Linked DNA regions of Bombyx mori. The protein of the gene in region 1 purifies or fractionates together with the protein of each later gene. This does not show direct contact. Links are inferred from orthologs where the notes say so. Each region holds a gene or a part of one and is shown in the gene's direction. Other genes may lie near its edges.

Region 1 (4,135 bases):
CCTATGAGATTAGGAATAATCCTTTAATTGAAATACCTAAGCAATTTACCATAAGTAAGTCGGTTTTGCACAGACATGTAACAAGAACGATGAAATCTCAAGGTGGACAAAAATGTGTAAGTAATACATAATAAAATATAATAATATTTGTTCAGAGTGGGGGTATCCACCTGATTAATTCATGGTATATCGGACACACCTAATCTCTTAACCCAGATAAAAATATCAGCCCCTGAGTACTTACTAAGAACAAAGAAATATAAACCGCTTATAAGAAAGCCCGCTCGTTCGAATTTAGGTGCTCACTCTCCCTTAAACAGAATCCTTTAGGACTACAATAATCTCCACGGTAGCGCGGTCTCCGTCAATGTTCATTCGGAGTTGTCCGATTGCGCTGAACTAATTTTAAGTGATGAAATAGATGTTTTTTCTAATTGTCTCACAACTTACAAGAAAAATCTGTCGCGGATAATTTCCCAAGTAAATATATATTAATCATAAGTAATTAAATGTAATCAAGTATTAGTTATATATTTTTATTTTTGTTGTCCATGCACTATCATGTACAACAAAATGTCCATGGACATTGAGAGAAAGTGAGAAAAAGAGGATAGATGCTCTCGAAATGTGGTGCTGGAGAAGAATGCTGCAAATATCGTGGACGGAGTTCAGAACGAATCAGTTAACTCTACAGGAACTCGGCATCAAGCAGCGACTATCCTCCATCGTTCAGGGTCACATTCTCACTTTCTTCGGGCATGCGTCGCGGCGGGGTGACGACTCAGTTGAGCGCCTTGTGGTGCAGGGCATGATAGAGGGTACAAGACCGCGCGGCAGATCACCGTTGTGATGGACCGACCAAATAAAGGCAGCTCTAAACGGTCCCGTTAACGAGTGCACAAGAAGGGCCGCGGTACGTGAGGAATGGCGACGTCTGGTGAAGCGCACCACCACCCGAAGTGATGACCACGACCACTCTGCTAAGAGTGCATGCGACTGATAATAAAATACCATTTTAAACATCAAGAACTACCTTAAAATTGTTCATCAAGTTGGAATTTGTCCCGAATCACCCCATTTTGCGGGTACCACAAATTAATATTAGTACAACTAATTTAATAATCTATGGTACATTATAAAGGACTTGGCTTCGGCTTTAGTGAAATTTTTATTTCAGGATATAATATAAATCATATAAGACCTGGCTTCGGCTTTTTTGAAAATTTATTTCAGAAATTATATAGAACAAATAAGGCGGTATGGGCTTAGATCCCCTTGCCTTTCCTAATAAGGAAATTGAACCAAAAAAAAAATCTATGGTACAATGGTAGGCGTTTGCATAGATAATACACTAAACAACGAAGTCAATTAAGTGTTTAATCTATGAACGAAGTCTCAAATATATTAAGTGTATAATCTATGGAACGAAGTGTTTGTATTCGTAAGGTTTTGGCCAGACACTTCAAAAAACTTCTAATTGGCGTAAAAACCTTAAAAAACGGTAGTGAAATTAAAATTGTATTTCAAGATGATGAACCAATATATGAGAGAATTAGAACAGGTACGTATTTGTTGATCTATAAACCAGTGTAACTAAATATTTATGTAGACAGTAGATATCAGTTTCTTTTTAATTTTTTATTTTCAGGATCCTTTTGATCCTGATGAATTTGTGGAGAGAATGGTGCGACGTAGCATGCAGGAATCCCGTCTCAAAGATGACCAGTTCGACCCCGAAATGATACATGATATATTTACACAAGCCATACAAGATTTAAAGGTGAGTTCTGTGATGATTCTGTGGAGTTATATCTAAATTTAATTATTCTTGTATATTATATTTGGGCTTGTTACTTTAATTGTTTAAATTTTTATTCCATGTTTAATTGCCTCAATGTTCAATTGATGCAGAAGTTAGTTAACTTAAGTCTGTTTTTTGTATCATTAAATGTTTTCAGAGATAATATGAATAGTGTTAATGAATGCCTTTTTAAAAAAATATCTAATTAATAGTTTCTTGGCTAGACTTTCTTAAAAAAATATAAATAAAGCTTTACATTGCCCATTTCAATTGTCTTCTTTAATTTTCTCAAATAATTAATAAGGTTAAAATATTTAAAAAAATGCTAAGTAAAAATGATTCTAAAGTCTTAACTTCTCAAACTACTTTGGGGAGAGTTACTTGTGGAGGGTTCATCACTTGCATCCTTGGATTCGTGGTAGGAGAGAAATTTATTTAATTGTTCTTAGTGGCACCAAATACATATCGGTGCTTGAAAGGCAAACGTGACTAAGCAACAATAACTGCTGTGTGCATAAATGACAGGCAATAACCATATTCGATGCGAAAAAAATATATATTTCTAGGTCTATTAAAATCATTTCAATCCTACAGCTACTAGCTAGATTCTACTACAACTAGATTCATTAAAATAAATTTCAGGTATTTCAACTTTAAATTAGTCTACTGTAAAGTTCACGTATTGTCGCTTAGTCACGTTTGCCTTTCAAGCGTCGCGATTGCATTTGGTTACGAGCTATAATTTTGAGCTCTTGTTAAATTTTATTTTTATGGATAATAATACTAGCGCATTCTTATTTAGAATAAAAGGATGAGGTTTTTTATCTCTACGATCTGATTTAAATTATTATCAGGTTCTTCAAGAGAGGCAAGAAAGAAAATGTGCTAGACTGGAACAGGCAGTGCAGGAAGAAGAAAAACTATATGGTGCTAAGCTATCAGAAATTATGGATCAACACTTGGTATGTACTTAGTCATATTACAACTTACCATGTGTTGAACCCTAAAAAAAAACTGAAAACTAAATTATGATTCTCAGACAAACTCCTCCGAGATCGATTATGATGGCTACTGACAGTATTGCTTGTTATAAGAATCACTAGGTTTACATATCCCACACTGTAAATGTTGTTTGTATAATTTACCTGTAAAGGTGTTGTTTCCTTAAATTAATAAAGCTGCTGTATTTTTAAGCAGTTTACAATGATTGTGTTGTAAGTAAGTATATTCTAAGTTTATTCACGGCTTTAAGTGGATTTTTAAATCTGTCGATTATATTCTATTAAGTATTCCATCAAGATTTTTCCTGAATAACTGACTCAATTTCATATTCACTTACTGCAGTCATGATATCCATTTGTCTGAACATCTTTTTGTAAGGAAGTGTAACTATTCTTGACTCGTTAACGTATTAAACTACTTGTTGCATTCTACTTGAACACATATCTTGATGGCTTTGAATGATGTATTCCAATGATCATGCCACTTTATTTTCTATTTAATGAGATGTTATAAGTCCTACAGCATAAATTTATAACTTATTAAACATTTTATGGCTAATGAAAATAGATTCAACCAAAAACTGTTTAATAATAGGTTGGTAGGCTCGTCTGCCTACAAGGGCAACAAAAATAATAATTATATAATCATTTGTTCAATGATAAAATAACTTTTCTTTGAATTGTGAAAGTTAAAAAAGAAATAATAATTGTACAACATTCTTAATTTCCTTACAGCATTGTGTGGGGGTGTTTAGTTCATTGGACGAACGTATGTCTCGTTGTGGCGGACGTGCGCTAAACGTAGGGGAAAAATTGGGAGCGGCACGAGCACCAAGAGCCAGAGCTGCAGCAGCAAGGGACCTTCTTTCACATTTAACACATTTCCTAAGCCCGGGTCCAGTTATAGTGGATCTATTTAGTGATCCCAACAAGGTAGTTCCTCTCGATCTGTTAATCTTTTTAAAGCCAATACAGATAGCCTAATTCAGTAACATTGTCACTAACAACGAAGGTCAAAGACATTGCACATGTGTTCTTCTTCATTATGCAACTACCGTTTTGTGCATGCAGTGCATGACTTTAGCAAGAACTAGGAAATTATTAATTGTGATATTTTTTGAAAAGAACTATTCCATCTACAATTATTAAACTCCGGTCAATTTTTCCTGTGCAATAGGTATTGAACTTCACAATTAAAATTAAATATTATCTAAATAAATACTACATTTTTTAAGCCTTGAAGTAATGTGAAAACAAGATTAAAATATAAAACTATAGGTATTGCTGTATAAATTATACAAGAGAGGTATACTAAATATTACAGTATCCTTTT
Region 2 (3,656 bases), on another chromosome or scaffold:
ATGCGCTTGGGACACATGCCGCGCCGCTGAGTTTATTTTATACCACCTGCACTTAGTAATACTTTTATGAAAAAGAGAATAAGTACCCTCACTTATAAACTACTGGCTTTTATGAATTATTGTCATTATTTTTTTATTGCTTAGATGGGTGTAAGAGCTCACGGCTCATCTGATTTTAAATGATTATCGGAGCTTATGGATAACATAACGAGAATGCCGCCACCCACCTTTAGTTAAAAGGCTTCACCTTTAGTTACCAATATTTAAGAGTTTTGTCACTAAGAATTTAATGATTCAATGATGACCCAGATGATGCATATTTTTTCATCATATTTTTATGATCATATATAGATAATCTTATGAATTTTTTGGATAGATAATAATTTTAAATGTTCATAATATAGAATTTTTTCTCAAATAAATCAGTTGTAAATTATATTTTAACATTTTAGTTAAAAAAAAATTCTGATCTTACTTTTTCAGATTTTATTCTGTTAATTAATTTACTTATGTCTTAGTTACAGTCATAAATGTTTCTTTGGGTTTCTTTTACAGTGTTTGAATGACTTAGAAAATTCTAGAGATGATCTGTTGCATGAGCTACATAGACTGCCCAACCAATCATCTCATGACAAAATTATGTTGAAAGCATATTTTGAAGATGTCGAAATAGTTTCTAACTTACTGGAGAAACAGATTAAACTAATCTTAGCTAGAACACTGAATACTGTTAGGAAAGAGCCTACTGTTATCGTGACTGCATTGAGAATTATAGAACGAGAAGAGAAAAGGGATCGAATGGCATTAGAGGTGAATATAATAACTTATTTACATGTTAAAATAACAGTCTATGAGCCGGGTCGTCGTGATAAGATGCCTGGTATACTTGTATCATACAATGTGTCTATGCTGGCATTAGAATATGGCAGGTACCATACTTTCCAAAGTAATATGTAAGTTAACTTTAAATTAAATTGAGTTAAATCCTGTGAACCGGCTCATTCTATGTAAATAATACGTATTCACGAAATATTTGTTTTCAAGATGTAAGAATCTCAATCAATCTCAAGAATCTCATACAATATTATTATTCTACACTTTACCTAAATTCAAAGGCGGGCTTCTTCTTAATTGGTGGTTAGTTTTTGTCTAATTTCTGAAAGGGCTGAACCGCCTTTGAAAGTTAATGAGCTTTATGAGTTGGACAGCCATTATTGATACTTTAATTGAAACTTCGACCTCTAGTCCCAATGAAATTCACTTTAACGACAACTGAAACACTGATCAAATGGTTCGCGAGCTCGTCTGTCGATCTGATGACCTAAAAAGAATTAAGTTTGTTTGAATGTTTTTTCTTAGTAATAGATAAATCTTATTTAAATTTGGTTATCCTATTTACTGTGCATTATATACTGTTCATTTGGTCCATTGTATTTGACAGCAACAAGTACAGTCTGGCTTCCTACCGCCGGGACGACCGAAAAATTGGAAAAACAAAGCATTCGAAGTGCTAGAATGTGCTGTAGCCCAACGGATCGAAGGGACTCGTGTGGACGAGCGGGAAGACAACAAGCTATGGCTCGTTCGCTACTTAGAGTTAACGCGACAACTAATTTTAGAAGATTTGAGGGTAGTCAAAACTTTGTGCGTGCCTTGTTTCCCCCCACATTATGACATCGTTACTAACTATGTCAACATGTATCACACATGTTTATCAGCCAGTGTAAGTGCTTTTTTTCTGTTTTCTAAATACTTGATTTTACGAAGTTTAGCGAGTTTTAGAAGCAAAGAGATGTACAAAATCATAATAATGTTTTAGTTACAAGACGTAGTACAAAGTGGCATCGAAGGCAATGAATATGTTACACTATTATCTTGGGTTCTAAACACGTACCCAGGACATGAGTTGATGGGCAGCCCAGAATTGAAAATAGATGTGACAACGCTGCCTCCCTTGCTGAGTGATGATGTGATGCAAAGACTTCAAGACGAGTATCTTCGGGTAAGCCTTTTGGTAGCAAAAGAGGCTCATAAATAGTATAGGGCAAGGAATCTGCTACAAGAGCAATAACTATCATCAATCCGGTCATCGTTCTCGTCGAACCCGTCGCTTGCGACGAAGGGCTCGGCGAGTAAATTAGACACAGCCCACTGAGTTTCGCGCCGGATCTCAGTAGGTCCGGTGGTAGATTCTGCGAAACACTGCTCTTGCTAGGGTTAGTGTTAACAACGACGTCAAGTTTGAGCCCCGTGAGCTCACCTACTAGTTAAGGTTACGCTGAAATGGTCTCTCAAGACCATCAGCTTAGGTAGAAAAAAAAACATCAAATAAATAGACAACAAATTTAGTTGCTAACTGCATGAAGTATTCTCATAAAGCATCACTGCATGCTGACCGCGTTCACATTGAGCCGCGGATAAATTGAATCATTTTTACTTAATCGCCTCACCGATGTGTCACAATGGACTTAGGCTACAAAAAATTATCGCGCAACAGAAATCTATGTTACGTATCTAGTCAGAAAAAAAAACCTCCAGGACATAGATTCTCGTATAACTGCATAACTCAATCAATACTGGTATAGTGGACACCAACCGGCTACTCAGCCACAACGGCATAATCATGGATTTCATGCACTTTCAAACCTTGATATAATAAAAATTGACATAAAGATATAAATGAGCAATACAATATCAAATAGAAGGAATGATATTATTATTACGGGTGGTAGGATATCGTGTCTTTTTCTGCCTAGAAGCAGTAATGCGTTTCGGTTAGAACGGTGGGGCAACCATTACACTGTAGAAACCGAGACTTAGAACTCATGTCTCAAGAAAGGTGGTGACATTAACATGGTTTCATGCCTGTGTGCTCGGATGGCCACATAACACCAGGCGAGCCGTAAACTCGTCCGCCCATGTTAGCAATAAATAAAAAATAATAATGAAACTTAAGTAAATCACACCACCAACACACACACTTATTGTATTTGATCTAAAAAACTAAATGAATATCTGCACAGAAAATGGAAAGTAACTATATGGAGTGGATGGAGAAGACATTGGAGTCTGAGCGCGCCGAGTGGAGCGCCAACCGCGCGCCCGACGTGGAGCCGCACTCCAACGCGTACCACACGCACGCGCCCGTCATCATCTTCCAGATGATCGACCAGAACTTGCAGGTCAACAGCTTTTCAGTAACTGTGACGGATCTTTTTTTTTTATAGCCCTTGTAGGCAGACGAGCATACGGCCCACCTGATGGTGAGTGGTTACCGTTGCCCATGGACCTCAGCAATGCCAGGGGCGGAGCCAGGCCGCTGCCTACCGTTTAAATTGATCTTGCGATCTTGAGGGAAAATACTTGTTATCGATTAATACGACATTTTCATCCATATAACCGTGTATTTACTACATTTACAATACTTAAGTAAAACTAAAATGCTACGACCGGTTCGTTTCACGTATTTTTGACAAGTCTTTTTTTTTTATTAAGACCATGTTGCCAGACTAAGATCTCAAAAGCTACGTTATGCGACAGTAACTTTGTATTAGAAGAGATCGGTAGACGGGCTTGCGGACCGCTTTGTGTCGATCGGTTAAAGATCACAAACCGTCGCTTGAGACACAATAGGCATGGTGGAATATCTTGCCTCA
Region 3 (4,141 bases), on another chromosome or scaffold:
TCGTCAAGCAGGTATTGAAATCCCTCAGGATGCCTTTTTTATTATAATTTATTTAAGTTTTATGACCCAGCCCATTACCCTGCCTATTTCTGCTGCAAAGCACTCATCGCAGTAGATTTATGGGTGGCAGAATGTAGGGTTAGCTCGCACGGGTAAGGGCCATTATTAAAATCTATTCCTGCCTCGAAGGTGTCATGTGTTCCAGTTTGAAGGGTGTGACAGCCATTATACAATACAAAGCAGACTTTGATACCTTAAGACTTATGTTTCTCTAGGTTGTTTCAGATTGTGATGTCTTTAACACTACTTAACACCAGGTGGGCCCTTAGCTGAATTTTTGGGTGGGTAGGTGTTACGTCTAGAATAGTCTAGATGTTACTTTTCATAACATCCATTAATAAGTTGGATCCAGTTTTATTACTGGTGGTAGGGCCTCTTGTGAGTCCGCGCGGGTAGGTACCACCACCCTGCCTATTTCTGCCGTGAAGCAGTAATGCGTTTCGGTTTGAAGGGTAGGGCAGCCGTTGTAACTATACTTGAGACCTTAGAACTTATATCTCAAGGTGGGTGGCGCATTTACGTTGTAGATGTCTATGGGCTCCAGTAACCACTTGACACCAGGTGGGCCGTGAGCTCGTCCACCCATCTAAGCAATAAATAAAAAAAAAAAATAAAAAAATTAATAGTATAAAAAATACTAATACATAATTACATAACAATATTTTTTTAAATCCCAAATTGAACGAAGTTAATTTAATTATAAAAAAATATATTAAATACATAAGTGGACCATTTATTTTGACTCTAATTGTACGATGGGCAGATGACCCCAAATCTTTTGTCGAAAGCTCACAACTCGTGCCGATTACTATACAGTATGCGCGCGAGTTCATGTACATCGGGGCCGGAGGCGACGCGCAGGGGGCAGCTCGCCCCGCCTCCCCGCGTTTGTTTGACGTCTAGTGTTGTCTTTGACAGTTGTGACGCGCGCTTATCGATACCAAAAACTTACGCTAACGCTATTGTGTTATTTCATGGTGAATAAACCACGAATACTCCGCTTCCAACAAGTTCAGGTAGAAAAAAACCTACACTGATTCGGACTCTGATCTGTTGGTTGTCTTTTCATCTCATAGTAGTTGAATTGGAATTTAAAAAATATTTTTCTCTATTAGGAAGAAATAAGTCATTACTTATCGCATTTATTTTATAATTTGCGAAGTGACCTGGTTACATTAAACCAAATTGACAGCTGTTGACTAAATCGGTAGTTATTATCGACATTACCATAATTAACTAGGTCACAGCACTACCGCATTCCTCAGGATGGACAAGCTCGCGCGTCTACTGTACATAAAATTTGAGAAAACGTTTTGATAGCAACGTTGGCAGCGCGTTGCCAACAAACTGACTTTAAAAGAAGCTGAGATAACAAAACGCATTTTTGACATATCGTTTTGATAGAAAACGTCCTGTCGTTCGATACCTACCTATAGAATCGAATGATGTGCGAGCCAGTGTTTTGTGATAAATACGAAAGAAGTATACAATAAATACATGTGCAACGATGTCCGAGATAGATATGGATAAGTTTGCTGTCCCAGACTTCGTCCCCGAACGTTACGTAAAAGACCTCGCTAGATCCTGCGTCGGAGGGGAGGAGCTACAGCAACAGAAGGAGAAAATACAAAATTTAGCCGAAGAAACCGCAAGTGCCCTAAAGAAAAATGTCTACGAGAATTATATGCAGTTTATCGAGACTGCGACGGAGATATCCCACCTCGAAACAGAAATGTACAAGCTATCGCATTTGTTAAGCGAACAGCGTTCTGTGCTGACTGTGCTCTCCCACGCCTCAATCCTCGGTAACGAGAACGGTTTATCACGCGAGTCTCTTGATAATCACGACGTCGAGGCTGAGAGGGCAGAAGAGGAACGAAAAAATAAATTAAATCTCATTACAGAAAAGGTAGAATCATGCATGAATCTGTTAGATGTCCCAGACCGAACTCTGCTTCATGAAGGTGACTTGCTAGAAATAGATGCAGAAGAAAATACTGCATTACAAAGAATGCATGTATATTTATTTAATGACTGCCTTATGTTAACATCCTGGATTTCTAACAGACGTGGTCCAATGAGATATAAGTTTCAAGTGAGTTACCCAATAAAGAATTTAGCAGTGGTGAATGTAAGAGATTTAGGAACTGTGAAACAAGCATTTAAAGTGTTAGCCTTCCCAGACACCAGAGTATTTCAATGCAATAGTTTTGCGATAAAAAAAGATTGGCTAGACAAATTTGAGATAGCAAAAAAACTGTATATTGAAAAAGAAAATTCTAAACAGAAGAAAAAAGATAGTCAAGAAAAATCAAAATCTGAATCTATTGAATCACCGAGTCTGTCTGTGGAAGAGATGCCATCACCCCAAATTACACCATTGCCTGAGTGGTTGGCTGATGTTACTGAAGAGCTTGATGTTTTGATTGTGGAGAGACATTTTCAAAAGACCTATGAGTTGATGGTTTCAGCTCAAAAAGCTTTAAATACTGAAGATTTTAAAAACCATCCACAAAGGGTTGATATATTGAAAAAAATAGAACAGAAGCAAAAGAGTTTAATTGAAATATTATTGAAAGATTTAGATGTAACACATAATTGGAGTTTGCGAGGAGGTCTCCAATCAACTAGACAACCGGTACTGATACTCAATAAGTTTAATATGACCAGTCAGGCTTGTGACTTGTTTTTGACGATATGCAGTTACACAGTCAAAGTTCATGTGAAAAGGGTGCAACTGGAAGGGTCAATTAACACTTATGTCAAACAAGTGGGTGAAGTGTTTTTTTGCTCATTGAGTGATGCCTTAACAGAGTTTATTTCACTATTTCCTAAAAATAAAATAAGTGCTTTTATAGTCTGGGCTAGTCTGCAACTTAGGATATTGATGAGTCAGATTATAAAACAAGTGTTCACACCTCAGTGTGCATTAGATTCCGTTCAGGATTGTGTTGAGAGTCTAAGGGAACAATGTACATTGTTTTGTCAATTTGGTTTAGATTTAAGATTCCAGTTGAACAGTTGTTTGAGAACACCAATAATAAAAGCTTTGAGAGAATATAAAGAGAAGACTGTTGACTCTATGAAAAATAAAATCACTGAAGACAAATGGACTCCAGTGAATATGCACACCAAAGCAGGTGTCAATAAATTCCTGAAACAAATGGAAACTTTGGGCCTTATATTAGCTAAGTATGTAATTAATGAAACATGGGTAGATTTATCAAGTAGTACCATATGGTTTACAAAGTCTATTGTCACTATACAGAAAATAGGTCTCCAGTTAGTGAACAAAGATATGATGGATAACCTTGATGAATACATTTATACAATATTCAATTCATGGCTTGTCCTCGCATCAGTCAACGATATTAGTTATGCAAAGAAGAATTTCAAATTCATTTTAGAAACAGTGATGCCTTTAATGCTTAGATGTTATAAAGAAGAAGTTGGCTATGATAATGAGAAATTAGTAGCTTTGGCAAAGAACTATGGTGTCAGTATTACACCATCCAAAAACATCACAAAATACACAAGTAATGAATATTTATGAGAATAGTCAATAGTCTATAAATAAGATGTATGAAATTATTTATATTATGCTGAAGCTTTAAATTTGTAATATAATAGAGAGTAAGCAAGCAGAATTATGTTAGTTTATATAAATACTGATCAAATTAAATTTTATGTATATGCAAGTTACGAATATTAAGTTTTAATACAATCATTATTTATGGTGATCTGTTTAAGTGTTCTTTGAAATTGTAAAGACAAGAATAAAATATATTTCCAGTATTATGATTTTTATTACTAGTGCAGTCAATTTTGCATGTTACAAAATATAACTAGAGAAATTATCATTTCTTCGCCCATATTTAACAGCAAATTGAAGCAATAAAATACATGAAGCAACTAAACCTAATTGTATTACAATTTAATTATTTACACATCTATAACAATAAAACAAACAGAGACTTATATTTAATGTGATATATTAAAAAAAGAATCTATATTTTAAATAATAATAATAATATTTACCAGAATAATATTTTTGGTGTATTCTAAATTTGTAAATACAGGA

What was found.
Region 2: the proteins of exocyst complex component 5 (region 1) and exocyst complex component 3 purify together in Homo sapiens (affinity purification with mass spectrometry; 7 studies listed by BioGRID and IntAct, counting the BioPlex papers as one, with this or other methods). This does not show direct contact. The link is inferred for Bombyx mori from reciprocal best matches to the Homo sapiens genes EXOC5 and EXOC3.
Region 3: the proteins of exocyst complex component 5 (region 1) and exocyst complex component 8 purify together in Homo sapiens (affinity purification with mass spectrometry; 5 studies listed by BioGRID and IntAct, counting the BioPlex papers as one, with this or other methods). This does not show direct contact. The link is inferred for Bombyx mori from reciprocal best matches to the Homo sapiens genes EXOC5 and EXOC8.

What each region holds. Positions count from the first base shown.
Region 1 is NC_085131.1:6,373,168-6,377,302, reverse strand, and holds the start of exocyst complex component 5, read left to right. Parts: upstream 1-1,317; 5' UTR 1,318-1,528; coding exon 1,529-1,561; intron 1,562-1,648; coding exon 1,649-1,780; intron 1,781-2,655; coding exon 2,656-2,763; intron 2,764-3,537; coding exon 3,538-3,735; intron 3,736-4,135. UniProt on the Homo sapiens protein: Component of the exocyst complex involved in the docking of exocytic vesicles with fusion sites on the plasma membrane.
Region 2 is NC_085118.1:10,556,046-10,559,701, reverse strand, and holds part of exocyst complex component 3, read left to right. Parts: intron 1-555; coding exon 556-810; intron 811-1,441; coding exon 1,442-1,723; intron 1,724-1,819; coding exon 1,820-2,002; intron 2,003-3,023; coding exon 3,024-3,182; intron 3,183-3,656. UniProt on the Homo sapiens protein: Component of the exocyst complex involved in the docking of exocytic vesicles with fusion sites on the plasma membrane.
Region 3 is NC_085122.1:6,419,557-6,423,697, reverse strand, and holds exocyst complex component 8, read left to right. Parts: upstream 1-1,308; 5' UTR 1,309-1,567; coding exon 1,568-3,613; 3' UTR 3,614-3,855; downstream 3,856-4,141. UniProt on the Homo sapiens protein: Component of the exocyst complex involved in the docking of exocytic vesicles with fusion sites on the plasma membrane.